Regions from separate parts of the Mus musculus genome. Here regions 2, 3 and 4 are each reported to be linked to region 1. The links are microRNA targets in miRTarBase. Many come from high-throughput screens and were not tested one by one. Region 1 holds a microRNA gene; each other region holds the end of a gene's coding sequence.

Region 1 (7,683 bases):
AACACTTCCAGCTATGTGTTGGTTTAACTTTTGGGGATTTTTTCAGACAGGGTTTTTCTGTATAGCCCAGGATTACCTTTAGTCTCAACCCCAGTGATTAAAAGGGTGCTTGCATGCTTGCAAGCTTTTTTTATCCCTAGGAACCATGGCGGGTGTTTTAAAACAAAAACTGAGAAAGCAGCAAAATCAAGAGAACAAGACTTTATTATTCATGTTTGGAGGCTGAGGGCACTGGTTGCTCCCATAGCACCTTGGTTCATTCAATAGCACCCACATGTCCCAGTTCCAGGAAACCTTCATCTGGATTCAGATACACACTACACATGCATGAAAGCAGCCGACCTGTGAATGGTGCCCACAGGAGAGACTCAAAAGTAGTAGCACTTTCTATGTACAGTCCAGAAGTGTGCCCCACATTTGAGTCTCACCAAGATGAGCAAGCAAGGAGTCTCTGGTTGATTGAAGTTCCGATGCTTTCTCCACATGGCAACACACAAAAGGGAAGCACTTTCCACTTAAAAGCTTAGATAGGGCCTCCATTTTGAGTATGGCTATATGGAATTTCGCTAGATCCAAACATGCCTACAACTGAACTGAAGATTAAGGATTATTCAATGCCAAAAGGATAAATGCAGCTATATGTAATACAGTACCTGTCAAATCTGGGTCACTTCCCGTGAGGTTCCGTGCACCTCAGCTTTTACTTTTGCCCCATTACAGACTGAATCATACCCACAGATGACACCCAAATGATGCAACACTTAGGCCAACTGCAGTTTCTCAATCGGCAACACTACAAACTCTGCGGCACTTCTTACAAAGAACAAAATGTCACACAGTTTGAGTACCACAGATTGAAGCATTTCCACAGGGACCTGCTGTGGTAATAAACCTGAAACTTTATAGTCAGTTCTTAGCCAGACCAGCCAGCCAGGCAGGTTGAAGGCAAGTAAGTACCCCAGGCTAGGCAGGATTACATTCAACTCAACTGGAACACCTGAAAAACAAAGAGAATCCATGAAGATTATGCTTAGGGCACACAATGTAACACCTGTAATCCCAGCCCTCATGAGCCTGGGCTATTGTAAAGCCAAAAGGTATTATGGGTATTATCTACCCGGCTGTCCACCAAGCTTGTTTGTGCTAGGAGCCAGGTTAAAGTCAGCTACAGCCAGCAGGTCCTAAAAATTCAATCCAACCATATCAAGACTCACAACCATCAGTCCAACTACAGTAGTCAAGCAAGATATAGCAACTACAGTAGTCAAGCAAGATATATAGGATCTTTTAATCCCAGGTGGATGGAGCTGAGGCCAGGCTGGTCTACAAGTGAGTTAGCTCCAGGACAGCCAGGGCTACAGAGAAACCCTGTTTGGAGAAAAAGGAAAAAAATTGAAAGAGGACTTAATATGGCGGCCACGTGAGATTTAAAAGTAGGCCTTTCTTTACTCAGACCTGAGGCTTAGACTCACCACCCCTGGACCTGGAGTGCCTCCTTCCACCCTGCCCTGCTTCCTCCTCACCTCCAGCCTTGCAGCTCGAGTAGCCAGTGGCAACGAATTCACCTCCAGCACACATACCTGTTTCAAGCAGGTAAGCGATTCCAGGTTGCAGCTGCAGCCGGCTTTTCAGACGCCATGTACACACAGAGACAAACAAAATGGATGCACTTTCCCGCCAAGCCGCGGAGAGGGCCTCCACTTTGATCGACACTGTATGTTCCAACTTCCAAGACCTGAGGCTCAGCTCCTCCGAGCGAGGCCCATGTGGGATCCCGGCTCCTTTATGAACGCGGAAAGCCTTTAGTACCGCATGCGCCCAAGTGTTCGGACTCAAACCCACATGTGACACCCACCTGCCCAGAAATGCAACCCCAGTGAAAACATGACCCACTAAAACTTAATTCTTAGTTCTTAGCCGTTTTGAGTTCTCAACCGGTGACACTCAAAACCTGGCGGCACTTTTCTTCCGATGAAAATCCAAAAGAGCCCCCAGTTTGAGTATCACAGGCTGGAGGTCAAGCTTAAGAACAATCTACAATGCACCTGGACTCACGACTGCCTTACATCCATCCGCGTCTCGTGGCACCCAACTGAACCGCCCTCTTTAGGATAGGACCCATTAAACTCCAAGCCTAAACCCCCACACAGGTTGTCCGCTCCTGTAAACCGATGCGTCAGATGCAAAGCTATGATGTTTTCCCCATGCAGTGGCACACAAAGTGGAAGCACTTTCTCATTCAGGCTCAAGAGAGGGCCTCCACTTTGATGGCCGCTACATAGGTGTAACAGCTCCAAGCAGCGACAGGACGCACATGGAGCCCCCAGGTACCCTACAACGACCACCTCAGTTACCGTCTACTGGGCAGGATGCCCATCCCTAGCCTTTCGCTATACTCAGTCTCATTCCTTTCTTCGAATCCGTACTCACCACGCTGCAGTTAACCCGGAACACGTGGCACCAGGGCTGGTAAATGTGCCAGATAGCCGTTTTCTCAACCGGCGGGGCTTAAAACTAGGCGGCACTTTTTAAAGAAAAAAAAAAGTGCCCCCATAGTTTGAGTACCGCAAGATGAGGCGGTCCAGACGTTAAAACATTTACCAGGAGGAAAGAACGTGGAGAACTTAAAATTCACTCCAACCTGAAGGAAACCTGGATGAAATCAAGGAAGAGTTAGTACATCGGTCTAACTCAAGGTATAGTGAAACTCAAAATTTCTACAATGAAACCACGTAGTTAATGAAATGTACTGCATAGACTCCCTAGACCTGCCCTCAGTAACTCCTAGCTTTGGTTTCTGGTCCCCAAACTTCACTCGCGCCCAGACTACTCACTTTCCCCACATAGGCTCGTTCCTCCCTTGAAATTATGTAGACCAAGTCAGAAAAAAAAGCCCAACTCTTTTTCCACACACATTAGTTCTAAATGTCTTCTTTGGAGACCAGACCAACCTCAGATGGGCCTGCCTCTGCCTCGGGATTAGTAAACCCAGCCAAACCGTGGGGGCGAGCGAGGAAGGCTGAGTTCGCGGCTAGCCTGCCTTTTAAAAAAGGGGCTCTAGTTTTTAAAAAGTAGAATGAAGATGGCCGTGATGACCTTTAATCTGGAGGCAGAGAGGCAGGCAGAAATGAGAGTTAAAGGCCAGCCTGGCTAGTCATCTCCAAAGTTGAAGCAGGAAGATCTCTCTTCTGGAAATCCTGGATCTACTTTCGCCTCTCTAAACCAGGTAGATTAAAACCACAGAACTGAAGGAAATAAAAAATCTGAAACTAAAAATATTACCTTTGCCTATGTGAGAAGCAGCACGCCGGAGGTATCCCTGAAGACCGCAGAGACCAGCATTCCCGATGTGGAGTAGAAGTCTCTGAGAGGCGTGGGGGAGGCTCTAGGTTCTTATATAGTCTGAAGGCTCATTGGCCCCCTGGACTGGGAGGCTCTGATACCCCTCCCCCACCCCGGAGAATCCTTACTCTACCACCCTGCTTCCTCTGAGCTGAGTTTCCCTGCGGCAGAGTGACCTTCACTGGTTTCTTCTCCCCCCCACCCCCCAGAGGAAACAGATTTCTTTGTTTGTTTCTAGAAGCAGCGCCTTTAATCCTATAGTTTTCTAGGCCGAGGCTGGAGGATCTTTGTTAGTTCAAGGCCAGCTTGGTCTACTATGGTGACTAGGCACGGGACTAGGCAGGGCTACATTCAGTATTAAGATAATAATAAAAATAAATAAAGGAAGAATGTGGGAGGTTCAGTTTATTCTTTCGTTTGAATTTTTTTTAAATCCAGAGTTTCAAATCCTCCCTCTTTTTTACCTTTCTTTCTTTCTTTCTTTCTTTCTTTCTTTCTTTCTTTCTTTCTTTCTTTCTTTCTTTCTTTCTTTCTTTCTTTCTTTCTTTCTTTCCCACACTGAATATGAAGGTCCAAGAACAATATGATAGAGTTAGTTTTCTCCTATGCTTAAATATGTTTTTTTTGGGGGGGAGGGGGTTCAAGACAGGGTTTCTCTGTGTAGCCCTGGCTGTCCTGGAACTCACTCTGTAGACCAGGCTGGCCTTGAACTCAGAAATCCGCCTGCCTCTGCCTCCCAAATGCTGGGATTAAAGGCGTGTGCCACCATGCCCGGCTGTTTTTCTTTTGTTATTATTATTGTTGTTGTTATTATTATTTATTAAATATCTTTAAATAGCTCCATGGATTGAAATTAGGTCTCCAGGCGGCAGGGCTAAAGCTACAGAGGCATATTGCAGACTTGGAGTTTAGGGTTTGTTTGTTTGTTTGTTTGTTTTTTGGAGACAAGGCTCAAGTACGCCAAGCTGGCCATAAGCTCATTAAATAGCCAAGAATAATTTAGGACTCCTAAGTCTACACCTTGTGTGTGTGTGTGTGTGTGTGTGTGTGTGTGTGTGTGTGTGTAATGGAACATTTTTAAAAAATTAATTTAATTTTTAAAAATGTATTCACCCTACATCCTACTCACTGCCCCCCTCCAGGTCACCTCCTTCTACAATCCTTCCCCCAACCCCAGTCTTCTCCTCTGAGTCGCCCCCCCCCCCCCAGCACTTCCAGTCTGTGGGGCTAGGTGCTTCCTCTCCCACTGAGGCCAGACAAAGCAGCCCAGTTTGACCATCATAACTCCGGGACAGGCAACTGCTTTTGGGATAGCCTCTGCTCCAGCTGTTTAGGACTCACATGAAGGTCAAGCTACACCTCGGCTACATGTGAGCAAAGAGGCCTAGGTCCAGCCCATGTGTGTTCTTTGGTTAGTGGGGACTCATAAGTCTTTGTCTCCAATCTTCCAAGGGCTGGAATAGGCATATACCAGTATGCCCAGTTCAGTCATTAATTCCAGGCATATTTAATATACTTTAGATGTCTTGTTAATTGAACAAACAAGCCTCACCAGCAATTTGCTAGGTCTTAGGCTTGGGGAAGCAGATAGAGATATGGGTTTGGTCAAGTATAATGGCACATTCTTTTAATTCCAGCAATGGGTAGGCCAAGCAGCTACAAGTGAAACTGTGCCTCAAACAGCAGCAACAAGAAGGATAATTCTTTCTTTCTTTCTTTCTTTCTTTCTTTCTTTCTTTCTTTCTTTCTTTCTTTCTTTCTCTCTCTCTCTCTTTCTCTCTCTCTCTCTCTTCCTTCCTTCCTTCCTTCCTTCCTTTCTTTCTTTCTTTCTCTCTCTCTTCCTTCCTTTCTTTCTTTCTTCCTTTCTCTCTCTCTCTCTCTCTCTCTCTCTCTCTCTCTCTCTCTCTCTCTCTCTCTTTCTCTCTTTCTTTCTTTCTTTCTGACTGGATCTTTCTAGGCTAGGATGCCAGGAGCCTAGCCTGGGATGAGCTACTGATTTAGCTTCTCTTCAACTTTCCCAAGATGGCCTTGGCAACTCTGTTCCCTGTTCATACTGTGTTGAACATAACCAAGCAAAGTGCCCCACTAACTTAACCCTAAGAATTTTATTTATTATTTATTTATTTATTTATTTATTTATTCACTCACTCACTTCCTTACTTGCTTATTTCTTGTGACAGGATCTTGCTAGGCAAGAGAGGCCTGGAACTCACTATATAGACCAGGCTGGCCTCCAAGTCACAGAAATCCACGCATCTCTCTCTGCTTTCTCGAGTATGGGCTTGTACCAAGCTGGCCCACAGTGAGCGTTTTAAAATTATGTTTTGTTGGACATGGTGGCACACGCCTTTAATCCCAGCACTCAGGAGGCAGAGGCAGGCGGATTTGAGTTCCAGGACAGCCAGGGCTATACAGAGAAACCCTGCCTAAAAAAAAAAAAAAAAAAAAAAAAAGTTTTATTTTTGGTGTATGTTGCAGGGAGGGGCAGAGGTGAAATGGAAGCATATAGGTGTTAGACAGTAGCTTGTAGCACTGAGTTCTGTCTTACCTCTTGGGGTCCAGAGATTGCCTTCAGGTCTTTGAGTTTGGCAGTATACCTGTTTATACATTAATACAGCTCAAGGGCTCCATAAAGAACACTTTTGAAAGCACCTAGGGTTAAAAATGTAGAAGCATCTCTTAAGTCCTCCATAAGGCCTCCTTAGAGTTTACCTTTGACCCTTAGGCCTAGCAGGGAGCTCAGAAGTGGAGGGGCAAAGGTGGGGTGCCACTCTGGCTCCCCTTCTCCTCTTTATCATTGTCAGCTGCCTTCCAAGGTTCTGACAAAAACCTTTCTATGATGACACTAAGAAACAGCTGTTTTAGCCCGGTGTGGTGGCGCACACCTTTGATCCCAGCACTTAGAAGGCAGAGACAGGTGGATTTCAGATCGAGGCCAGCCTGGTCTACAGAGTGAGTTCCAGGACAGCCAGGGCTACACGGAGAAACCCTGTTTCGGGAAAAAAAAAAAAAAAAGACAGCTGGGGATATATGAAAATTAGCAAAAACATTGCTTTTATCAGCCCTGCCTTCAACCTTGGGCTTCCTTCCTTTCCTCTCATGCTGAGCTTCAGGGACCCCAGCAGAGATCTTGAGGTTTGTACTGCACCTAGGAAGTGAGGCACCAGGCGAGGTACCTGCTCCCAAGTCCTCCCAGGCTCAAATCCGAAGGGAGATGTATTTCATTCTCCCCAGCCAAAGGGACTGTTAACCTGCAAACTAGTTAGACTTCCTTCGTTACCTGGAGTCTGAATGGCACGGAGGCTGGCAGAATCATAGTCACAGGGCTGAGCTCATTGGCTTCAAACTCATGCCATGACCTCATAATCCCAGGCTGAGCTGCTTGGCCTCAAACTTGTCTACTACAGAAAAATCACCTGCTGTCTCTTTCCTAACACACACTGCTGGCTTTTCTTTTTCTTCTTATTATTAACACTACATTATATAAAGTGATTATATTTATTTTCTGTTCCTATGTGATTAGGGGGTCGCAGGTCAGTTTATTTACTTATCTTGACACACAGATTCTCTATTTAAGCCAGTCTGGGTTCAAACTCAGAAATCTGCATTCCTCTGCCTTCCAAGTGCTGTGATTAAAGGTGTCCACCAACAGACAGGGTACCTCTCTCTGTACAGCCCTGGCTATCCTGGGACTCTCAGACAGCTACTACTCAGTGTGGGGCTTTGAAATGACATTATTGGGTTGGGAGGCTGTGCACATGCTAAGGTGCTCTGGTAGAAATCACAGGGCAGCTGGCCTGAAGAAATTTCTCCTTCTCCTCTGTGGTCCGGGGGATGGAACTTACCTACTGACCCTCTCACCTGGTGTCACTTCTCCCACCCCATCTGTTTCTTTCTTCATAGTAGCATTAAGTTATTATGAGAGAAGGTACTGGAAATTTCACAGAACTGCGGGATGAGATTTGACAGCTGGTGAAGTAAGGACCCGGAAAAAGGAGAGTCATTTTACTTCTTTCAAAACTCCACTGGCTGGGGTGAAGGACAGTCATTTGCATGTCGGCAGCAAGGCTTTTATGGTAATGACCCAGTCCTCCCTCCCTTTGCCACCCAACCCTTGGCTTTGTTTACTAGGATTGAGCATTACAATAAGAATGCTTTCTTCTGTAAATTCCCCTCTGGGCTTGAAATCCTTTTAGGTTCAAAATTAATTGATGCAATTGGAGGGGCTGGTCAATCCCATCTTCATTCACAGTGACAAGGCTGGAGGATAGCCTTTAATAAAGGCATTAGATGGTAAACTGCCAGGTTATCCTTATTTTCTTCTGTGGAAGGTACTATAAA
Region 2 (7,683 bases), not on the chromosome of region 1:
AATACAGAGGAATGAGTGGGGAGGGGGGCTTCTGAGGCAAGGAGGTATGAGCCCACATGGGACTTCTCTTACAGAGTCACACAGGATAGACTGTCTTTCTCTGGTAATGCATTGTCATGAATGTGTGAAATGTTCGCTTGGGCAAAACATAGATAACAAAACAGGATGCCAGAGTTTACTGTTGGCTTGTCCCAGGAGTGCGTTCTACTTAGATACACCAACTTGCCGGACTCCCAGAGAGGTTAGGGATTAAGCATAAACCACATGGATTGTGTACCTTTTAGATATTTGGTACTCTTCTCGGTGAATAGGAGGAACACTCCCGACAGCCAGCTTTCTGTCTGTCTTTCAGGTTGCAGACACAGTGCAACAGTCAGACTTTGAGAGAAGCTGTTCTTTTCTTTTTTTTTTTTAAAGAATTATTTTATTTATGAGTACACTGTTGCTGTCTCCAAACACACCAGAAGAGGGCGTCAGATCCCACTACAGATGGTTGTGAACCACCATGTAGTTGCTGGGAGTTGAACTCAGAACCTTTGGAAGAGCAGTAAGTGCTCCTAACCTCTGAGCCATCTCTCCAGCCCTCCCAGTCCCTGAGAAGCTGTTCTTAGTGCCCAAGCATCCATGGGCAGAAAGGGTAGAGTCCCAGATCATGTCTCCACCCATGGCTTAGGGAAGAGGTTCAAAGGCCACGGTCCATGATCTTCTCCTCTTGGTCCTGACAATGAGCAAAGGATGAAAGTCAGCTTTTAGCAAAGCAGGAGCCCTGCTCACCGCTGAGACACCATGGCAAGGATGTGTTTATCCTTGGAGATTACAGTACCCAAAATAAAATGTAAACTATAGACATATTTTCTTTGCTTTGTACTTTTACATAGGTTATTTCTTCTGTTACAAAACAACTGTGGATGCAGCATTGGAAATGGAGGAAATCAATAGTAAGCCTGGAATGGGAAGGCCTGACTCTATCTGTAAGTGTGTATAACAGGAAGGTAGGAGTCCACACGATAAAAGACTAAATCTCCAACCATGGACACTATTGTCTTAGGAACCACAGATGTAGCATGCTGCGTGTCCTGCTCTGTGCCAATTCCAGTCAAGGTTCCCTGAAGGCATCTCTGCACTCTCGTGTCTACTGTAACAACAATCAATTCTATATGTCTTCATTATTCTTTCATACATGTACAAGATACAGTTTGGTTGTGTCCCCCGCCCCCCCCCCCATTGTCTCTCATTACCTTTCCAATACCTGCTAAACCTCCAGTTCTTCCTGGTGAGTAGCCCTCCTGTTTTCAAATCTTTGCTTTGTGGGTTTGAGGAACCGTGTTTAAATAGGGCTGCTTATGTGAGTGTGAGTGGAATTTCTTTGTGGGGACATGAAAACATCACTGCAGAAGAACATAGCATTGTTCCTCTTGGCAATTGCTGAGAGTTAAAGATTTATAGAAACGTGACAAGGGACGCCTTATCCTTATAACCGGAGTGTAATATGAGTGTAATGGCCATGTTATATCAAGAAGTCAGTGCTTCACAGCAGTTACTCCCATCACCCGGCCCTTGCACACACTCTCCTTCCCTCTTCCATGGAGTTTCCTTAGCCTTGGAGGGTAGATATCCCTGCTCTGCTTAGGGCTGGGCACACAATGGTTGCTTGTTCCAGCACTTTAATCAGGCATGAGTCTGTGCCTAAGTTTTTTCTGTTTGTCTCCTTTTTCCTTTCCCTGAAATTCAACAATCACCCATGTGAAGAGGAAGGGGAAGGCATGAGAAATGATCCTGCCCATCTCCAGGGTTCTCCTCACAGAGACATTTCAGAGTCTTTGGCATTGGTGGGACCACATGACCCAACATCAGATCCCTCCCATGTGACCCAGCGTGAGCTCTGTGAGAATCCCAGCAACCCTCTAAAGGAACTGCATCCTGGCTTTAGCCCTTGCTTGATTTAGAACTCTCGAGTTGAGTGTTAGAGTTGTGATGTTATTTCCTCTAAATCTAATCGGGAAACTCTGGGAGGTGATGGGCCAGTCCTTCTGCCTCTTAAAAATATGCTTGCCCAAATGAGCCTAGGCTTTTTATCAGTCTGAGCACTAGCACTCCCTTGGCTGATTCCTAGGCCTTATCAGGTTCCTTTGTGCTCCTGAAGTCATTGTCCTGCCACACTGGGAGGGCAACTCTGCCGGAGATCAGTGTGTCTTCTGGGACCATGTGAGGTCACCACTCCTAGAGCCTGGGAGTTTGACATTCTTGCAACAGAGAAGGTGAATCTCAACTATGAACCTCCCCCCAACCCCAAATTAGGTGAGATCCTTTTAGAGCCAGGACACCAAGGCTTTCAGCCAGAAAACAGTGTTCATCAATGCTAGCACTGAGCAGCAGATCCACACTGAAACTGCCCAAGGAGTTCTGGAGCCAGAATGTCTTGTATTGCTACAGAAGCCCTTCCCCTTTGCCCCATTGTTCAATAGCTTGGCCAAATCAAAGTCAGTTTCACTTTTCCTTGCACATCTGTTATCCTGTTCCCAAGTCTGAAGTTTCCGTAAGCAATGCCAGTGGTGTGCAAATGGTTTTGGTAAGAATTAAATTCTTCAAGACTGTCTGAGCCTCTTCTGCTTCAGTTACTCAAATTTCATAACGTTCTCACCAGCTCTTCCCCAGTGGTGCATTCCACAATGACACACACACCATGCTAGGTGTTCTTAACCTCGAAGGATGGTGTAATATTTGTGTCTCCCCAAGTCATCATGATCCCAAATAAGACACAGAGAGGGTGGCGTTCATCAGCCCTCAGAATTGATATAATTAGAATTTATTTTGTATGTAGTGGAAGGTCTGAATTGAATTTCATCCTTCTGCATGAAGAGTGGTGTTGTGTTAGAACCATTAGTCTTTCTTCCAATGTAGATCTTTGCCTTTTCTGTAGGAAACTAAGTGATTATGATTTCCTTTTGAAGCCTTCAATAATATTTATATTTCTATTTTTCCATTAGTTAATTTATTTGTGCACTTTACCTTCTGATTGCTGTTCTCCCTCTGGTTCCTCCTCCACAAGTCCCCACTCCCACCCCATGTCCCATCCTATTCGCCTCTGAGAGGGTGCAAGGGTCTTGCGTATCAAGTGCCCTGTCTATGGAACCCAGTTACTTGACAAGGCACCCATGGGTTGGAACTGTCCCCATCCCCAACCTTCCAACACACACATAAACACACACACACACACACACACACACACACACATACACACACAAACACACACACACACTGCCTTGTTTTGCTGTTTTATTGTATGTAAACATGTTTATTACAATATTTCCTCTTATGCAAGGCACTTTGGCATTCACATCTTAACATGGAGGCCACTCCTGTTTGTTTCTCTAGAGTGGTCACTTTGGAAAGTATTGACAGGCTGATGTTGAACATTGCCACTGCAACACACTCAAGATGTTAGTGGTTTTCTTTGCTGCAATGAACAGAGACCAAGGGACATTTGATCTGCCACATTCTATGTCTGCCATCATGTGAGTGAGGCCAGGGGATAGGACAGACCAGATCCAGTTCATGACTTGGTGGATCATGGAGTGCCTGACAGAGCACAAATAGGTGAAGAAATGATACAATGTCCATTGACTCCAGGTCCATAGAACACATCAAGACTGAACTCTGTAGAGAGATCATGTGTTCTAGAAAACTCCAAGTCTCTCACTCAAGGCTTTAGACACAGAAGGAACCAGAAAGAACATAAACAAAGGCACGTGTGCACTTACAGCAAAGACCCCTGCAAACAGGGACCCAAAGACAGGTGTGGCTCGGCAACCCATCTCATAGCAATGCAGACACGCAATGGCTGACAGAGCTGGTGTGCCTCCTGCACAAAATTAGGACACTCAGGGGAGACACGTGTGGCCCACAAGAGGCCATGTGGGAAGAGCTATTCAGTCTCATCCAAAAAAGACAGTCTGAAGCACAAAACTGTTCATGAGCTCAACTTCCAAGTCTACTTCCTCGCTACCACCCAAAAAGCCAATGCTCGAGACACACACAAAGGCCATGTGCAAACGTGACCATGAACAAACAACTCCAGTGAGAACAGAATGAGGTAATGGCATTGTGCATGGATTGTCAAGAGGGTGGTGATGGCCAAGGGCCACAGTCTCACAGCAGACCCTCATCTGAGGCCGGTGGGAGCACAGGTATCCAGGCTTTGCTCTGGAGGGAGAACTAACGAACAGCTCAGCTGTCTAGACTTAGTATCTGGGTGTGCTGTCCAGGATCCACAACTAAGCTTGTCTGCAGTTGAGACCATGAGTTCTAGACACACAGCCTTCCCATTGCTTCTCATCCCTCCAGCCTGGCCATAGCTGTGTCCAGCTTTGTGCACATCAGTGATTTCTGTATATAAGGAGGGTACCAAGTACCCTCTACAAGGTTCCCCAGGTCTCCCCAGGAGTTTCAGACAACCATAGAGGACCATGTCTATTCTTGTAGCGACAAGAGCCTGCCCAATTGTACAGTCTGACCTCCCAAGGGGCTCACCTGAGACTCCCACCTTTCACACAGAGCCAGAAATGTGCTGTATTACCAATGCCTGTGGTGGACAAGCCGACCTCAGCAGTTCTTTTTTTTTTTTCTTTTTGGTTTCTCGAGACAGGGGTTCTCTGTATAGTCCTGGCTGTCCTGGAACTCACTTTGTAGACCAGGCTGGACTCAAACTCAGAAATCTGCCTGCCTCTGCCTCCAGAGTGCTGGGATTAAGGGAATGCGCCACCACCGTCCGGCCTCACAGGTTTGTAAACCCTAAACAGCCCATACCCTCACAGGCCTCATCCCCACTCCAACAGGTCAGAGGAATAGGAAGGAAGTTCCCATAGAAGGCAGAAAACTGCAGAGAGAGAGATGGGGGTGCATGGAGGGAGGGGAAGAGGGACAGAGGGGGAAGAGAAAAGCACAGGTGGGGTATTGCCATGTCAGGGCTGGGAGCAAGGAGGAGTGTGAACTCAGAGAGGCTTCTGTGGTGATGCTCAGGCTGAGGACCACAGGCTGCGGTGCCAGGCTGCTGGTGAGATTGGGAGGAGACAGACTCAGCACACCTTCCCAGACTGGCTATTGTCCCAAGGGGGCAGGGACAGGTAGTCCTGATGCTTTAGGGACTTGAAAAACTGAATGGCTGGCGCCTGGGGCATGGGCTGATAGGGAAACTTTTTGACAGACAAGTCCTGGACTAGGTCCTCAGTCTCAGAACACAGACTTGGAGAGGGTGGCTTACTGTGTGGTGAGAGGGAGCCAGGTCCCAGGCCAGGGAGGAAGCAGTAGTCCCCAACCTGCTGAAGAACAAGGAGGCCTTCGGGATGTGGGGATGCTGGGCCCACTTCCTCCCTGGGCTCTCCTGGGATCACTGTGGGGCTGCTTGCCACAGGAGGAGCAGGATGGCCTGGAGGGGACTTGGCAGCCTGGCTCACACTTGGAGGCAGCTCCACATAGTCCTCAAACCCTGGTGGCCCTAGAGCTGGGCTTCCAGAGGGGACCCTGGGCAGCTTAAGACAGAGACTGGGGCTTTGGGCTGAGGGCAACCCTAGAGAGGGGCCCAGAGAGGTAGACAGGGGCCCTGTGGGCAGAGTGAGCACCGGATCTCCAGGAGTGACATAATCAGAGGCCATCATACTGCCCTCAGGGCCCCCAGAGCTTATGGGCAGAGTCACTGGGTTGTCCCGTGCCTCCTGTTCCTCCATGCTCAGCTCAACTGGAGGGTTCTCCTTTGGCTCCACAGAAGGGCTCCCTGAGGTCTCCAGGCTGGACCCACACTGCACATCCATAGCCTGGCCCTGCCCCATCACCTGGGACAATGGAACCAGTTGCGCTTGACCTCCAGGGGGCAGACACATGTACTCCAAGGAGCCTGGCAGTGCTGGCTTCAGGCTCCCACCCACCTGGGGGGAACCCAGCTGGTCTGGGAGATCAGGCAGAGAGTGGGATTGGGGAGGCCCCAGGTAGGGCCCATTGAAGTCAAAGCTGGGTAATTGCTTCCTAGGTCTGTTAGGAGTTGGTCCCTCTACTTGAACATTGGGAAGTTGCTCTGTGGATTCGGATGAGGCAGCTGGGGTTGTATCAGGCCCGGATGGTGGAACTCGAATTATATTAGGGTCCTCTATAGTGAGAGGTGACACGTTGTTGTCTTCCAAATGTGCATATGACTCCCTGTCGGGACAATAGGGGCAGAGATGTTGAACCTAGGCACTTAGTGTATAGCCAGAGCAGGTGAGCTCTAGGAAGGCCTGAATCCCCTCTGGGCCTCACAGTAAGCACCGAGGCATGAGGTCCTGTGAATGACATGGTGTGTGTCCAGTGTCCCAAAGTGTCACGTGCTCAGGGCTCAGTTCACACCCCCATCCTAATGTTTGCTCTCTTCTGCTCCTTGCAGCAAGTGTGAACCTTCAGGGCCGGGTTCACACCTGCCCATATGGGGCTGCTGACTCCCTGACATGTGGGCTTAGCAGGCTGAAGTCCCACAGTGTGCACTCTCAGTCACCCATGAGGCCATTGCAGTGCAGGGCTTACATAGGTCACTTGGCAAGGAGAGGCTTCCTGCTCTGGGATGCTGCCTCTGGTCCCTTGTCTGTTTCACGCCAACCGGGGAGTCAGAAAAAGTCTTCCTCATGTCTACCTGGAGTGCTGTTTACTACAGTGGGCAGCCTCTCCTCTCAAATTCAGAGACCCACAGGCTACAATGATGTGCACCATGGACAGGTTTCCTCCCACAGGCTCCCCAAGGGTCAGAGCCCAAACACTCACCCCTGTTGCTCAGCAAGAAGCCTGCTCTGTGGCCCCTGGAGAGCGGGGTTCTTAGTGGCGAAGGCTGCCATGCTGCCAGGAGGCCAGAGACCTTTACCTCCATCCTACAAAGGAAAGGGCATTTGTGTCTGTGAATGTGGCACCTCAGGAAGGACACATGTGCATATGGTGTCTTCCATAAGCTCTGGACATGGGAAGAATGTCCCCCTGGTAGGGCCCAGCTCAGGCCTCTGACTCCAAGAAAGAAGAGGCATCCTAGGGGTTGTGTTCCCTTAGCCCTAAAGCTCCTGAGGTAAGCAGCCATGCTGTTCCCTATAGCCTCTTCTCTCATGGCACTGGTGTCTCCCCATGACCATTGTTCTGTGAGACATGGACAGCCGTGTCCTTCTGTCATTCCCATTCCTGTCTCAGGAGCTGACCCCCTGGAGACACCCTGGTTGCAATCAGCTCTCCCACCAGCTCTAAGGCATCTTGCTGTGCAGTGCTCAAGTCCTGTCCTGGAGACACTCAGCCCTGTCTCTACCTCCAGGAGCCGACTCTTCTGAGCCATTTTGTGCACTAGAAGGCTCTGAGTTCTGTCTGTGGCTCCAGACAGAACGCAGGCCAATTTGTGAGACTCCTCCTTCAGGCACCCAGGCAATACCAGATACCCACCTCCTGCTGCCTAGCCTTCCAGCTTCCCCTCGCTTTCCCACGGACACAGGAATGGGACAGGGAGCCAGCAGCAGGGCCTGCCTTCCTACCTGGAACAGGAGGCTCTTGCTGGGGTTGGGGATCTTTTCCTTCCACTTCCTGTACGTCCTGGAAGACAGCAGGAGGGTGGGGACACGTGTATGTGAGATTCCATAGACCTCTGTGCCAGCTACTTCTGTGCCCACGTATAGAGAGAAAACTGAAACC
Region 3 (7,683 bases), not on the chromosome of region 1:
CAAGAAAAAGGGTATACAGAGAAACTGAGCTTACCAGCCTATCTCTCTGGACCCTCCTCGGCCCATGGGTAGCCCTGCCTTTTCACAGGATGGCTCGTGGTGCCTGCCGTCGTGCCTGCCTTCTGTTTGGGGGCCTGGTTTGCTCGGTTTGGCTTTTTTTTTTTTTTTTTTTTTTAAGATTTATTTATTATATGTAAGTACACTGTAGCTGTCTTCAGACACACCAGAAGAGGGCATCATATCTCGTTACAGATGGTTGTGAGCCACCATGTGGTTGCTGGGATTTGAACTCTGGACCTTCGGAAGAGCAGTCGGGTGCTCTTACCCACTGAGCCATCTCACCAGCCCCTTGGTTTGGCTTTTGTTGTTTTCTTTTTTTCTTTTTCTTCATTTGAGGTTAAGTCAGTAATCGATGCTTTTACTCAACACAAAACCCTTATCATTTCCCAAGGTTAAGCTGCAGTCAAGCCCCAGGGTCTCAGTGGATCCCTATTGACTGCAGTTTAGATATTTCTGTCCCCCACCCCCACCCCCACCCCATGCTCTCAGCGAGGCCGCTCACTATAAACACTCTTGTGTGACATAATGGGTTTGCTGTTTGGTTTGGTTTGGGGACGACGGTCTTGCTGTACAGCCCCAGATACCTTCAAACTCGCCATCCTCTTGCTCCAGCTTTCCAAGTGCCCGTGGCTATAGGTGCACACCACCACACCTGGATAGGTTTTTTGTTTTTTAATTCTTCTTTTTTTTTAATATTTTGAGATAATTGTAATAGACAGTTCTTGAAATAATTCGGAGGGATTTTATGATCTCCCTACCCATTTCCCCTCCACAGCTCACCAAAGATGCCAGTCCAGCACCACAGCCAGGACGTGCAGTGCGCCGACGCCGACACACTCACATCCATCCTTACTTACCTAGGGCTCTCTCATGATGCCTGCGGCACGTGCTCATGCATCCGCTTCTACACGACCTTACCACGAGACTCGCCTGTCCGCCTTTGGCCCCAAGGATCTGCCCTGATGTCTTTTTTCATTATTTCTTTATTAAAGTTTTTGAAACAGGGTCTCATGCACCACAGGCTAGCTGAGGGCTAACCTTGATCACCTCCCGGAGGTGGAGATTAGAGGTAGCTGTCACCACAGCCCGTTCTTTCTGTCGCTTTTTGATGGAGTTGTCCACATGTCTCACTCACCCCAGCTCTCAGCTCACAGCAACCACTCATCTAACCTTGATTTACATCTTTTTCTTTTCAATTTAAAAAAATGTTACGCAAATGCAGCCAATGCAGCCAATACCTGGGGCCTTCTCTTTTCACCCAGCATAATTCCCTGGAGTTGTCCAGTAGTGGGTGCAATGACTGGTATTTATCCTCCTCTAGTGTCCTGCAAAGAATTTTCACTGCCCAAGTTCCCCGTGCTCCCCCTACTCATCCCTCTTCCTCCATCCCAACCCCCAGCACACCCTGAGTTCTTTTCTGTCTCTGTAAGTCTTACGTTAGCCAGAACACCATGAGATGGACTTACACAGTATGCCAGCTTTCCAGAGTCGTACCTCCAAGGGCTAGGTTTTAGGAGGTTTTTAAAGGCTTCATTTTATTTTTATGTGTGTATCTGTATGTGGGTATGTGCTAAGAGCAGATGCCCATGGAGGCCAGAGGTCCTGGATCCTCTGGACCTGGAGCCACCCAGTATAGGTTCTGGGAACTAAACTCAGGTCCTACCCAAGAGCAGTGTGCACTCTTAGCTGGAACCCTCTCTCCAGCCCCTAGGTGATTATTTTTAAATGTTAGAAAAATGCTGTACTGGTGTGGTGGCATGTGCTTTTAGTCCTAGCACTTGGAGGCAGGGACAGGGGCAGGGGCAGGGGCAGGGGCAGGCGATCAGAAGTTCAAGGCCAGCCTGAGATCCTACCTCAAAACTAACAACAGCACCACCACAGCAGTTATAAAGCACACATAAAAAGCCCAAACACACAAAAGGAAACACAAAACAGACGTCTTTGTAATGTAAGACATTTATTTTGGTTACAACTTTAGAGTGCGTTAACACTGGTGGTAGACTAGAGGCTAAACTTTCCTTTTCCTCCCGGATGGCAGGACCTCCCATGCCTGGCAGGTGACAGTGCTCTGCCTCACCCCACCATCCCCTGCCCTCTGAGCCTCTTCGGTCCACTGAATCACTTTTTACGGAGTTAACCTAACGCTGGCAGAGGAAAATGGAATACAAGTTAAATATCCAGCTATTCTCTCTATGCTACGATCAGGACAAAGCCTGTAAAAGAATTATGAAAAAGACAATTTCCTGTGAGAAAATCTCTTATCCTCGTATTATAAGATCAGTGCTTCTCTTGATTAAAACATTTAGCATCTTAAATACTATAAGCAACTTAAGGTGGAAAGGCACCCGCCTCAACAGTGCCCCCTGCTGGCCATGGCATTATCCACACCCACTTGGGGGTGGCGGGTGTGCTAAAGGCCAAGTGAGAATTCTTAAAATAACTTAAGAGTGCTGGAGCCCAGAAGAGCCTTAGTATGGGCCAAGAGTTCCCTCATTTGGTAAGTGTTAGTCTGTGCTCTCAAGACAATAGAACAGCAAAGAAACAGACCTACCCCTGGAAAAGGCAGGCAGACTTTAGAAGATTGAGAAGAGAAACCATTTTTATGTTTGTAATTTTTACCTGGATGTTTATAAGTCATAGAAAGTGGCTGGGTCTGAGGAAGAGGTTGGGGGGGGGGGGAACACCCTTAATTCCTATTCCACCACTTTCCATGGATAGAACACTATCCAGGATTCCCAACCCCACCCCCTACTCACGGGCAGCCACGGGGTTGGCTTTTCCACAACATCGGTATTTTACCTGAAGAATAGTAGCTAGTTTTATAAACACGAGGCAAAGCCAACCAAGAACCGTTGTACTTTCAGCCCTAATGGAAAGCCAGGAATCTCCCAAAGGCTCTTTCTTCATGTTCCCACAAAGAGGTTTCCAGTAGGTGCTAGTGACTGTCCTGTGGCTGTCCTATGGGGTGACCAACCCAGAAGAGGCAGGGGGAGGGAAACCCACCCTCAGAGTGGAGAGTTCAATGCTATGTGTCACCATGTGTTACCTAGACAAAGAGAGACTGTGTCCCAATCGACTGGGGAGCCACAATTTTCACTTCCTTCTCTGGAGATGGCTCAAAGTCATGTGCACTTGGACACTGTTGGGGGCAGATTTCAGGTCCAAGCCAAGAACAGCCTCAAGCAGCAGGCCTGAGACTGCTTCTACTTAGCTTTAACGAGCTGGCAACTCTTAATTATCTTGAACTTTTTTTTTTTTTAATGGAATCTTAGTTGGGCAGTGGTGGCATTCGTCCCAGCCCTCAAAGGCAGAGTCAGGCAGATCTCTAAGTTTGAGGCCAGCCTGGTCTACAGAGCGAGTTCCAGGACAGCCAGGGCTACACAGAGAAACCCTGTCTCAAAAACCAAAGCCCAAAATCCAAAACCTAGGATCTTGGGACCGTAGCCCTGGCTGGAGTCTCGATACGTAGACCATGCTATCCTTGACCTTTCGGCGGTCTTCCTGTCTCTGCCTCTCATGAACTGGGCCTGTAGACATTGCAATCATGCCTGGCTAGCCCAGATGTTTTTGGTTTGTGGTGTTTTGTTTTGTTTTGTTCTTTCCTCTCTTTTCCTCTCTCATAACACATGAACCAGTTCTGTCAACTCTACAGTGTTATTTTGAAATGCACATTGTATTGAGCAAGAGAGCCGCTTGGAAACTAAAGACTGAGGTACACAACTTGGCTATGGTCACTTCATTCTGGGCCAAAAAAAAAAAAAAAAAAAAAAAAAAAGGATGACCAGCCCTATGTGACCAGGGTTGCTGTGGTCACACAGAATAGGGGACAATGACCATCCAGGCTGCACAGCTCTGCTCCTGCTGTGATCAGAGGTCTTTACCCTGGGAGTGACATCCTAAGACAGGTCTGCTTCTCCTGCCTCTTGCAGCAGCTCTGGAAAAGGCATGTTCCTTACCTTAACCATGAACACTGCTGAGTCTTACACTTAAAGCTGAATTTGAAATATTCAACAAAAATCCCTGATATTTCTTTCCCTCCAAGGAAGGTTTCTCTGCAAACTCCTGTAAGACATCCTACAGGCAGGCAACCAGGCTGCTGGGATCCGGGTGCCCCACGACAACAACTCTCTCTATACACGGGGTACTCAAACAGCTCTGGTTCTCATAAAATGGGCTTTTATGAGACGCCTATGTGCCGGGTGCTGGGGTGGTGGCTGACGGCTCTGCGTGACCCCGGAGACATACAAATAATGAGAACGTGAAGTCCCAAGAGGATTATGTTCAATCTCTGGCAAATGTGCACACATACAAGGTCCAGCGAGGTTCAAAAACCACCCTTAGAAAGTTCTTTTAAAGGCTGTTTCTTTCTTTGCTCTCTCTCTCTCCATTCTCATGGTGCCGCCAAGTCTCGTTTCTGTCCAGCGAGTCAGTTTCAGGATCCTGCACAGACACCGTGGAACCAGCAGAGCCTCCCGTAAATGGCCAGGGTGAGCAGAGGGGCCTTTCATTTTCCTTCTGTCCCCAAGGGGACAGGCACCCCTTCCAACATATGCACCCGTGCACACACCCACGGACATGAGCTGCAATTGGCTAGGTTCCTCCTCCTAATTATTCTTAGAATAGCAACCAGGATGGCAAGCACTTGGCGTGATGACTTGAACTCACCAACACTATAATTCAGGATAAAATCCTTGCAATTCTCCAAATGGAGGTCCTTTGTTTGTTTGTTTGTTTGTTTGTTTGTAATAGGCTGGACTTTACACCCTGTATTCTGAAAAGGGGGAAACCCTGCCCAAGGCATCGCTCTTCTAACAAGCAAAGGAACAGAGCCATCCTCAGGGAAGGCTCTGAAGCAGCAGATATAGATCGTAAGCTCTCTGGCAAGGCACACTTTAAACATTCCAAAGAATCAAGATAGCCTCTGGGAAAAATGGATTTGCTTACCCAAGGGCCCCTATGTAGTATCTTTAATTCTAAGGAAATAATTTTAAAATGCAGCCTTTTTTTTCCTTCTTTTTGGAAATCTAGTCACTAATCTATCTCCACTCTGCTTCAGAACTTAATGTCATTCGTCTGCCTCAGCAGGGCGTGTCGGGCTGTGAGGACCAGGAACAGACATGGGGAGGTCAGGGCCTGTGTTTGCATAGTTCCTTTACCAGGCTCGTGGTTCTGGACCACACAGGAAGAACCCAGGTGGGGGAGGGGTCATGAAGAGTGCCCGTGTCCCGGGCCATGCACCCTGATAGCCCTCCCACCCTGGGTCACTGAGATGTATCTATGCCACAGACAGGGACATAAACCTGAACCTCACCTCAGGGAGAGACATAAATTACAGGAAAGGATGGCTAAGGAGCAGAACTTCTTAGGGAGCTTCTTCATGTGCTCCCTAAGGGTGGAGTGGCCCCCGAGGACCAGAGTGGGACAGATGTGGGCACGTGTCTGGTGGTGCAGGGAGTGGGTATACTGTGTTTCCTAAACATGGCTGCCAGGGCCCTCCCAGTCAGACCTCTGCAAAAGAGGCTGTGGGCACCCTAGAGTTTCACCTTGCCCTCCTTGGCTAGTCTGTCATTGAGCTGGCAGAGTTGGGCCAGGAAGCCATCGTTGGGGCCGATCTCACGATTCTGCCTCACAGTACTCAGAGCAGACTTGACGTCCATCTTCTGCCGCATCATGAGGTAGGCGATAACTAGCGTTGGGGAGCGGCTGTAGCCCTCGCGGCAATGGACAAGCACCCGGCCTGCAAGAAACAGGGGAGACGTGGTAACTGTGGAAGCCCAACTTCACTGTAACAGTCAAAGTCTTCCATACAACAAGCATATCACCATGCACCCACCCAGAATGACCAGGGACAGCAGGGTGTCAAGAGGTTCTCCACCGCGGAAAACTGGCAACAGCTACTCACGTTGAACACCTGCGCCCCCTACTGCCCAGCAATGGCATGCTGGGAATTGAACTCAGGACCTCTGGAAGGGCATTCGGTGCTCTTAACGGCTGAGCCATCTCTCCAGCCCCCTAATAAGTCTTTTTAAAAAAGAATTAATGATCTAGGTAGAGAGTAGTGAGAAGGCTCAGTGGGTAGAGGAGCCAATGTCAAGCTGATGAGTTGAACTCCAACCCCGAATCCACATGGCACTGAGAACTTTCTGTAAGTTGTTCTCTGGCAAACCGAAATAGCTCAGTTGGGAGAGCATTAGACTGAAGCTGTTCTCTGGCTTCCACGCTCATGTCCAGTCCAGTCATCCCTTCACCTGCAGCATGTGCGCTTCCCCGCCCCCATCAAAGAATTAATGATCCAGTCAGGTGTGGTAGTACACATCGTAATTCCAATACTCTAAGAGGTGGAGACAGGGAGTCACTTTGAACTGCAAGTGCAAAGCCAGTTTGGGCTATGGAACAAGCCCCCACCTCAGGGGAAAAAAAAAGAATATGGAGATGTCTCAGTGGGTAAAGGCATTTGCTGCCACACGTGATGACCTGAGTTCAACCTCTGGAACCCACATGATTGAAGAAAAGAACTGTCCCCTGTTCACAATACTCTGACATCCCCACACACTGTGCCATGCATGGGCCCACACGCACACACAACTACAATAAATAAATACATGTAAAAACGCAGAGTAATATGCAACTTACTAGAAAGAACGTGTATGAGGCACACAAATGTGTGGCTCCACAGAGCAGAAAAGAGGCCCAAGTAAACCAGGTTGTTAGAAGCCTGAACAGTGGTAACCTGGGAGTACTGTAGGCAGAGACGTGGGAGGGAACATGGAGTGGGCTTTCTGGGGTGGTAATTGTGTGTGTGTGTGTGTTTTAAAGATTTATTTATTTTATGTGAGTACACTGTAGCTGTCTTCAGACACACCAGAAGAGGGCGTCAGATCTCGTTATAGATGGCTGTGAGCCACCATGTGGTTGCTGGGAATTGAACTCCGGACCTCTGGAAGAGCAGTCAGTGCCATCTCTCCAGCCCCTGAGTTTTGTTTCTTGATCACGGGTTGTGCCATTCAGTGAACTGCACACTTTGTGACCCAGACCTTCTCTGTATGAATGTTATCCTTCAGTCTTGAACAAAACATGAAACCATGTAAGTTACCACTCGCCTGTCATCCTAGCACTCAGGAGGAGGAGGCTGAGGCAGGAGGATGGCAAGGTTGAGGCCAGCTCAGGCTATAGAGCATTACTCTCTCTTAGCACAAAACAATGTACATAATTAGATAAGCAAGATATTCTAGCTACATGTGTCCATACAATGGAACCCAGGCGGAGAAATGAAGAAGGGTACTGAGAGCTGCCTCAGCAGTTAAAAGTGCTTGCTTTAGATTCAAGTTTGGTTCCCAGCACCCACACCAGGCAGCTCACACGCTGCCTGTAACTCCAGCTCCAGGGACGGCCATGGCCTCTTCTGGCCTCCATAGTATCTGTACACATGTGGCACATGTGCATACACACAAACAAATAAAAATATGTTTAAAAAAAGAGAGCGAGAGAATGCAGTACAGTAGTGTGTGATAGCAGAGTCAGAACCCAAATACTCAGACCAGGAAGGGGTGCAGGCTGTGTGACTTCACTGACATAAGAGTGTGCAGATGCACACTGTTCTCCAGCGACAGAGGCAGAGCAAGA
Region 4 (7,683 bases), not on the chromosome of region 1:
CCTTTCTCAGTGGTTGCTGGACCGAGGACTATTGCGAATCCTTTGGTGTTACCGTTCTTGCTCATTTTACAGCCCAGGGGTCTGCTAGGTCTATCTTGGAGAACAGAGACGGCCCAACAGGAAGAGAAGAGCTAAAGGACCAGGGACCTGATCATAAACTACGGGGTCATGGAGGGTAGAGAAGCAGTTCTATGGCTACATAGCAAGTTGTGCCAAAAGGGCTGGACAGCACCACCCAGACATCCAACTAGTTGAGAGAGCTCGGAGCCTCTTTCACTGGAGCAGTGTTGAGCTGTTTGTGTGTTGCTGATAATTCTGGAAAGTGTTTCAATTCTGTGGGCCCACGTGCTTGTCTCCCCTTTCAGCCTTTCCTGATTCTTGCCACAGTTTCCAGTAAAGCTAGCCTGCATTCTTTAAGTCATTGATTTTTTTTTTTTTTTTTCCTTACACAACCTTTACTGGGCAGACTGAGAAGGAAGAAAAGACAGAATGGTCCAGAGGTGGTAGGTGAACACCCTCAGGGGAAGGGAGGGTGTACAGGGTGACATCTTCAGATGGAGTGAAGAGATGAATGTAAAGGTGAAGGAAGCCAGGGTGACTGGGAAGAACTTGGGGTTGAGGTAACCGTCTCTATTCCTCCCGGGCAGTGCGTGCAGGACAGATGGAGCCTTGTTCCATAGTTCTGCCCTTATAAGCTAAGGCAGACTACCTGGGCAGAGGTGATTCAGCTGCCTTCTCAGGCTTGAGCAGTGTGGAGTGCAGGAAGTGACCTTGGGTTTCTCTTCATAGGACAGAACCTAAAATTAAGCCCAGCTAGCAGCTGCTTGACACTCTGCCACATAAATGTTGCCTCTTTGGTTCCGACATGTCCTGGCTTCCAACTTTGAAGCCATCTCAAAGTGTCTAAAACACAATTAGAAAAAGAGGTTTTTTTTTTTTTAAATTTATAGACTAAGCTGTCAGAGATCAGAACTTGAGTCAGTTTTATTTGCTCTAAAGAATATTTCCACAGAAGTATTATTTATTTATAACTTCCTTAGAGGCACAAAGGAGTAAGATATTATAAAATATATAAATTATATTTTGATTTAGTAAAACCAGACAGTTTTAAGCTCCGATGTGGAGATTTCTCCACTAGAAAACTGTAAAGGTACCCACATTTCCTCCTGAGACTATCACCTGTCTCCATTGACCTCATCAGGTAATTGCACTGATAGTGAACCTCACATTTCCTATCAACTTCACTTCTCTACACATTTTTGCTTACCTTTGTAGCAAGCACGTCTGGCAACATCTCTCTATATTCTATGAACTAAGAGGGACAGGGGCAGAGAAGAAATGGAAAAAGTCCAAGAAGGAATTTCTCCTCCTCCAGAGACCCTGGCCCAAGGAAGCAGATGCTGGAGCCGAGGCTCAGCCTAGGGTTAACCTTGGAGTCCCTTTCCTTCAGAATACAACTTACATTCTCAGGATGCCGGGGAGTACCAAAAACTAGTAGTTTGTTATACTGAACAGATTTTCTTTTCTTCTTCCTTCCTTTTTTTTTTTTTGAGACAGAGGGTTAGGATCTTAGCTCTTACTTAGCATTTGTTAGTTCTAACCTTGGGGCAGTGTTAGTCACCACAATACCTGTTAGAGACAGCTGGAGGGGAGGTTGATTGGGGCTCAAGGTTTCAGAGGGTACAGAGCACAGGGAGGAGCCTGTAGCAGATGCTCACCACACCAGAGCATACCAGGAAGCAGAGGGCAGCTGGAGATAGAAGCTGGGCTAAAAACTTCCGACAACCCTGTGTTGGTGACTTATTTGTACCAGCCAGGTCCTATGTCCTGAGGGTTTAATGGCACAACAGTGCCGGGATATTTCAGAATCAAATCCTAGCAAGCAGTCTCACCCACTTACATTGGCAGCACTTCCACTGGGTGTGCTTAGATTAGGGACGGAGGCCTGCAGCGGTGCCTAAGAAGTATCACCTATCCTAAGATTCAACTCTGCTAAGCTCCAAATCAAGACACAGGAGTGGGAAAAGTCCACTGTTCATAAAGTCAGTGATTTGTCCATGGCATCCACAGGCAGAGAGGTAAAAAGGCTGACCAGTCAGCAATCAGGCCACATGCCCGGTCCTGGTCTTGCCAATGGCCAACGTTCTCCATAAAGCACTGTGCAATCATTTCATACTGGTTCACATAGTTCCACTGCTTACAGCTGGGTAATTCAGCAGTTATTCAAGTCCACCCAGCAACCTTAAAAGAATGAATTCTCTTAATGTGCCTGATGCACCACTGAGGTAGGGTTAAATGACAGTGGTTCTGCCATTCAGAATCCACTATTTTCTTACAGTGGTTGAAGAAATGGATTACTTCCCCAGACACTTGCTCGGCCTAAGGCTTACATGGAACATTTCCAACTCGAATGCTCTCTTGGATCAACCGAAAATTAAGTTCCTAGTAAGGTTCAGACCAGAGAACTCAAATGTGCCAGATCCCGAATGCAGGGCTCTATGCCAGTCTCATCATTTTACAAACACTGTAAGATGTCAAGAAAATGGTAATTTCATAGAACAGGTTAAGGGTGGTTAAGTGCCAAGTGAAGGGAAGGCCTGAATGGCGTAACAGCCACATATACGGAATATACTTGGTTATGACTGGAATCACATGTTTAGCTGGGTGTGGTGAGCATACTTTTAACTTAGAAGGCAGAGGCAAGCGGATCTCTGAGTTTGAGGCCAGCCTGGTCTACAGTGAGTTCTAGGACAGCCTGGGCTTCACAGAGAAACCAGCCCCTCCCCAAATGTTTTGTTATATACCATATATTCATGATCTACAGAAGAGCAGGGCAGAACAGGAAGCCGATGGTGTGTAAACTTCCAATTCTGGAGAGGGAATTTCACACTATACACAACCTTCTCTGAAATTACTGCTCTGTGCGGATTTACCGTGCAGTTCTGGAGTGCAGCAAGGTGAAGCCAATCACTGACTGATGAGGAAGAACTATGGAACCCAGACACACCTGAAAACCTGGTGTTCTCCTGGGCCAACAACTCTACGTAAAGAAGCTGTTAGTGTCTGGATGTGACTGATGGCTTACACCTACAACTTACAGGACTTGAGATGCAGAGGCAGGAGGATTTTGACTCTGAGGCCAATCTGAGCTACACAGTAAGACCCTTTGTCACAAAAACCTGCTACTTCCTCCCCCCTCAAAAAACACCACAATAAACATCTGAATAAAGTAACAGAAAGTGGAACAATTCAGGCCTAGAATTACATTAGATCTCAAAACTAAAGAAGGGGATCTCTTTGGACAAATGGTTAGGTTCACAAAATGCTGAAATAGAAAATAATCCTTTCAAAGAGTTTTTATAGTAAGATTTTACTCTCAGCAAGTGTGTGTGTGTGTGTATGTATGTATGTGTGTGTGTATTTATATATAAAAGTTTATGTTTGGTAACACCCAAACATAAATTAGGATTTTTTCCAGTTCCTTTGACATGAAGTGTTCTTTAATACATAAGGTACACCCTTTAAATAACCAACAGGAAGGAGGCTGTACAACACAGACATCATGTTTGTTTTTAAAACCCCTTTGAATCTGGATACAATGGCCAGATTGTTTTGTCATGAAGGATATCAAACTTCAAAGCCAAAAGGAAGAGGCTCTAACTTGGCTCTAACAAGGCCAAGTGTGCAGTTCTGAGTCCCAGCTGCAGTGAACATCCTTCGTGAACACCACAGAAAGGGAAAATCTTTTTTACTGTGGAGCTATCACACAGCTGCAGTCTATGGCTCTGGTTTCATTCTCGGCGTCAGGAAAGGAGCTCGCCACAAATGGTGGTGACATGTCCTCATAACTGGGGAGATTTCAAATACAGTCCAGCTATCTTTTTTTTCTTTTTTCCTCGAGACAGGGTAGAGAAAAGGCTGTCCTTGAACTTGCTCTGTAGACCAGGCTGGCCTCAAACTCAAGAGATCTGCCCGCCTCTGCCTCCCAAGCTGGGATTAAAGGCATGCGCCACCACTGCCTAGCCAGTCCAGCTATCTTGCTTGCTGAATCACCCGTAGTCCCAAGCACATACCATGTTATAGAGAGCCAAGTTCAAGCACTAAAAATACAACTGCCAGGCACAGCAGCACATTTCCATAATGCCATCACTCGAAGGGCAGGACAGGAGGATTACTTACAATGTAAGGCTTCCGGGACAGTCAGGGATATACTTACAGATTCTGTCTCAAAATGCCAAATAAAAAAAACAAAAATGAAAGAACGGTCACAATCCTGAGTGTGAGGGAGGAGGCAGGGCACTGAAAAGTGTTGAGTCTATACAACATCTACAGTTTTTGGCAGAACCTGAGATGAGAATTTTGTTCTAACCACGAAGGGCTTGCTACCACCTAAAGACAGGCTTCCTCAAGAGTGGGCTGATGTGAAAATCCAATCCAACACATGGTATTTGGCAGGAAACATGATAGAACACAATACAATTCTTTTCCTTTGAGGAAATGGCTCCGTCGTGAGAACACAAGTTCTGAGTCCTTCCGTGGTCTGGCCTACTCTGCCATCCAGAGCTTGAAGGTTCTGTCATAGGAGCACGTGGCTATGAGCTGCCCATCAGAAGAAATGTCCAGGCCCATCACTTTGCCCTCATGACCAGCCAGGGTCTTCAGTGGGGACCAGCCTGGGTGGGTCCAGATCTTGGCTGTATTGTCATAGGCACCTGTGAGCAAGAAGTCCCCATGGATAGCTGCAGAAGACATAAAGCAAACATGAAGAACTCAAGTATTCAGAAAGAGCTTAAGAAAAAGAAAAAAGACAAAGACCCGACAAAACACATTATTTTGAAAGAAAGGTTATTTCTGATTTCAGATAAACTGAACTCATTCATTCTGCATTCCTAGGGGCCTCCAAGATAAGAGACGGTCATGAGCAGACTGAGGATAACCATGTAACAGATGAAGGCTGTGTGGCTGCCTTTTCCCAGGTGGATGGTCTGTTCAGTAACAGCAAGCATCTAGTTAGTGCCTGACATTCATGGAGGACAAAATGAAATGAAGCCTTCGCAGAACTCTTTGCTTCAAGAAGGCATGCTTTGCCATAGCGCTGTCTATAGGTATGGCAGAGGGAAGGAAGCTGAAATTTGCTTAACAAGGTTCCATGTCTAAGTTAGTCTAATGGCCAGGATGTATTCCATGAAGCAAAGGGTGTCTGGTGTTAAGGCTGAGAACAAGAGAAAAGCTTACGCTCAAATTTGACACCGGTCACTAAGTTCTGATGGGCGGGGATGGTGTAGACACAGCGTCGCTGCCGAAGGTCCCACACTTTGCAGGTGTTGTCACCACTGCCAGTGGCAATGTGGTAGCTGAGGATCAGACGTATCATAGTTAGGAACAGAGATTATTGTCTGGCCAGGACCCTTCCCATCCACTTAGTTTGCTTTACCCATTGGGGCTGAAATTTATCCCATAGATTTCCTTCAGGTGGCCTTCCAGGAACATAATGCAGCGTCCTGTGCGTAGGTCCCAAACCCGGCCAAATGCATCCAGTCCCCTGAGGAGATAACATCTGTATGAATACACGGAATCCAGTCTGACGAGGAAGTGGGGTTGCCTAAGAGGTGAGACCACTAAGCTGCCTGGTCTTGCTTTGTGGAGAAAGTCTTACCCAGTGCCAGCCAAAGAGCCATCTTGATGGAAGGCAATGTCATACACACCCATGCTGTGGCCTTCCTGGTGCAGGATCTCCTCTTGAGCCTCTAAATCCCATAAGCGCCATGAACGGTCATAACTTAAAAATAAATAAGAATAAATTTGCCAACTTACCAATAATTACACCAACGATCAACCAGCAGACGGAAGTGTCTACTATGACAAGGTACTATAAACAATCATAGTTCAGCTCAGGCTCCCGAAACTCTTCATTCAACCATACTAACAAGAAATGCCAGGCTGCGGAGATGGCTGAGCAGTGACCGCTCTTCCAGAAGTCCTGAGCACGATTCCCAGCAACCACCACACTGTGGCTCAAACCATCTATAATGAATCTGGTGCCCTCTTCTGGTGTGCAGCATATATGCACGTAGAACACTGTATACTAAAAAAAAAAAATAAATTCCCCCCCCCCCCCTCGAGACAGGGTTTCTCTATGTATCCCTTGCTATCCTAGAACTCACTCTGTAGACAAGGCTGGCCTCGAACTCAGAAACCCGCCTGTCTCTGCCTCCCAAGTGCTGGGATTAAAGGCGTGCACCACCACTACCTGGCTTAAATAAACAAATCTTAAAAAAACAAAAACAAAAACCCAAAAACCAAAAAACAAAGGTAAGAAAGAAAGAACGAACAAATGAATGAAAGGCCTTTCTGACATGAACAATGAACAATGCTTCACCACCAAGACTTTGTTTTAGGCGACAGCTGGGAGACCATGAACATTCTGTACTTTAGTGGCTGTTTTTTAAAAAAAGAATTCTGGGGGGTAGGGGTTGGGGCTCAATAGTAGGGAGGCCTTGCCTGGTGTGTGTAGGGCCCTGGGTTCAGCCCAGCAAAGATGGCACTGTCTTTCCCCCTTCATTCTGCCGCTGCACGCCTTGCCCTATCAGGCATTTGCATATTTACTGGAGTCTCAATTGAAATTAGGGCGTTAAAGAAAAATAAACACAGCAGATCTAGAAACAGACCCAAATGTGTACGATCAGAATGTTTTCATTAAAGGTGTTAAAGGAATTCTTAACAAAAATCTTAAATGAGGGTTGCAAACAGCTTTGGTGTTACAAATACAGAATAGATAAACTCAAGAAGGGCAAAGCAGCTAGAGACTGCACCAAAGACAAGCAAGATGTGTGAGTGTACGGGGAAACCACTCCAGTGCCACCACCATCAGGATAGGAACACCGACAGAAATATTACCACGTGCTTACAATGGGTAAAACAGAACGATCGGCAACAGCAAACACCAACACAGCTACGAACCAGAGTGGGCAGAGCTCAGATGTTTTTAAGACTCTATGCTGGGGAACAGGGTCTTACTCTGAAGCCCAGGCTGGCCTTAAACTTGAGATCTTTGTCTGAATGTTGGGACTGTGAGTGTGTAGCACTGAATCCAGCTTGCCCAAATACTTTCTTTACTTGTGGTTTTTTGAGACAGGGTTTCTCTGTATAACCCTGGCTGTCCTGGAACTCACTCTGTAGACCAGGCTGGCCTCAAACTCAGAAATCTGCCTGCCTCTGCCTCCCAAGTGCTGGGATTAAAGGTGTGGGCCACCACTGCCTGGCAGCCCAAATACTTTAAAAAGCTAATATACATCTACTCTATACACCGCCAGTCCATGAACTAGTAATTGTACTCCTAGGTAATTACCTAAGAGAAGGGAAAAGACAGCCAGCCATCTACAAAAAGCTTCAGTAAGAGTATTTATAGCTGGGGATGGAGAGATGGCACATGATGCTCTTCCACAGGACCCAAGTCCCAGCACCCACATAGCAGCTCACACCATGTGTACCTCTAATCTGATGTCCTTTTCTGGACTCTGTGGGCACTTACATGCGGTACACAGACATACTTGCAGGCAAAACACCCATGCACCTTAAAAGAACATTTACAGCAGCTTTATCCTGACTAGCTACAACCTAGAAACATGCCCATGTGCCCATCAACAGGAGGATGAAGAAACTGTGGCTCAGATACAACAGATT

What was found. The annotated mature microRNA mmu-miR-290a-5p reads ACUCAAACUAUGGGGGCACUUU and lies in region 1 at 2,542-2,563, opposite strand. An mRNA with a match to its seed (bases 2 to 7 or 8) in the 3' UTR can be bound and repressed. Matches are read on the target gene's strand: a 7mer-m8 pairs with bases 2 to 8, a 7mer-A1 pairs with bases 2 to 7 and ends in A, and an 8mer does both.
Region 2: the mRNA of Csf2rb is a reported target of mmu-miR-290a-5p. Seed matches in the 3' UTR shown: 7mer-m8 at 4,701-4,707.
Region 3: the mRNA of Dusp3 is a reported target of mmu-miR-290a-5p. Seed matches in the 3' UTR shown: 7mer-m8 at 4,205-4,211 and 7mer-A1 at 3,455-3,461.
Region 4: the mRNA of Prpf4 is a reported target of mmu-miR-290a-5p. Seed matches in the 3' UTR shown: 7mer-A1 at 4,225-4,231, 7mer-m8 at 3,953-3,959 and 7mer-A1 at 3,272-3,278.

The regions. Positions count from the first base shown.
Region 1 is chr7:3,213,519-3,221,201 of GRCm38, reverse strand. It overlaps Mir290a (microRNA 290a), which reads right to left and starts at 2,576; the gene lies at 2,494-2,576. Mir290b (microRNA 290b) reads left to right here and starts at 2,507; the gene lies at 2,507-2,564. It overlaps D7Ertd143e (DNA segment, Chr 7, ERATO Doi 143, expressed), which reads right to left and starts at 2,418. Exons shown (of 1, transcript NR_028425.1): 1 at 187-2,418. It overlaps Mir291a (microRNA 291a), which reads right to left and starts at 2,283; the gene lies at 2,202-2,283. It also overlaps Mir292, Mir292b, Mir291b, Mir293, Mir294 and Mir295, and 1 more gene. RefSeq lists a cis regulatory region at 5,600-7,683.
Region 2 is chr15:78,346,578-78,354,260 of GRCm38, reverse strand. It overlaps Csf2rb (colony stimulating factor 2 receptor, beta, low-affinity (granulocyte-macrophage)), which reads right to left. Exons shown (of 14, transcript NM_007780.4): 12 at 7,527-7,584; 13 at 6,784-6,887; 14 at 3,260-6,189. The coding sequence ends at 5,076. Mir7676-2 (microRNA 7676-2) reads right to left here and starts at 5,662; the gene lies at 5,601-5,662.
Region 3 is chr11:101,969,143-101,976,825 of GRCm38, forward strand. Dusp3 (dual specificity phosphatase 3 (vaccinia virus phosphatase VH1-related)) reads right to left here. Exons shown (of 3, transcript NM_028207.3): 3 at 2,001-5,797. The coding sequence ends at 5,592. Among named protein-coding and RNA genes, the nearest start is that of Sost, 6.0 kb to the left of the region's middle.
Region 4 is chr4:62,420,274-62,427,956 of GRCm38, reverse strand. Prpf4 (pre-mRNA processing factor 4) reads right to left here. Exons shown (of 14, transcript NM_027297.3): 11 at 5,657-5,779; 12 at 5,435-5,542; 13 at 5,236-5,354; 14 at 967-4,739. The coding sequence ends at 4,546. Rnf183 (ring finger protein 183) reads left to right here. Exons shown (of 3, transcript NM_001379625.1): 3 at 1-417. Among named protein-coding and RNA genes, the nearest start is that of Gm30589, 10 kb to the left of the region's middle.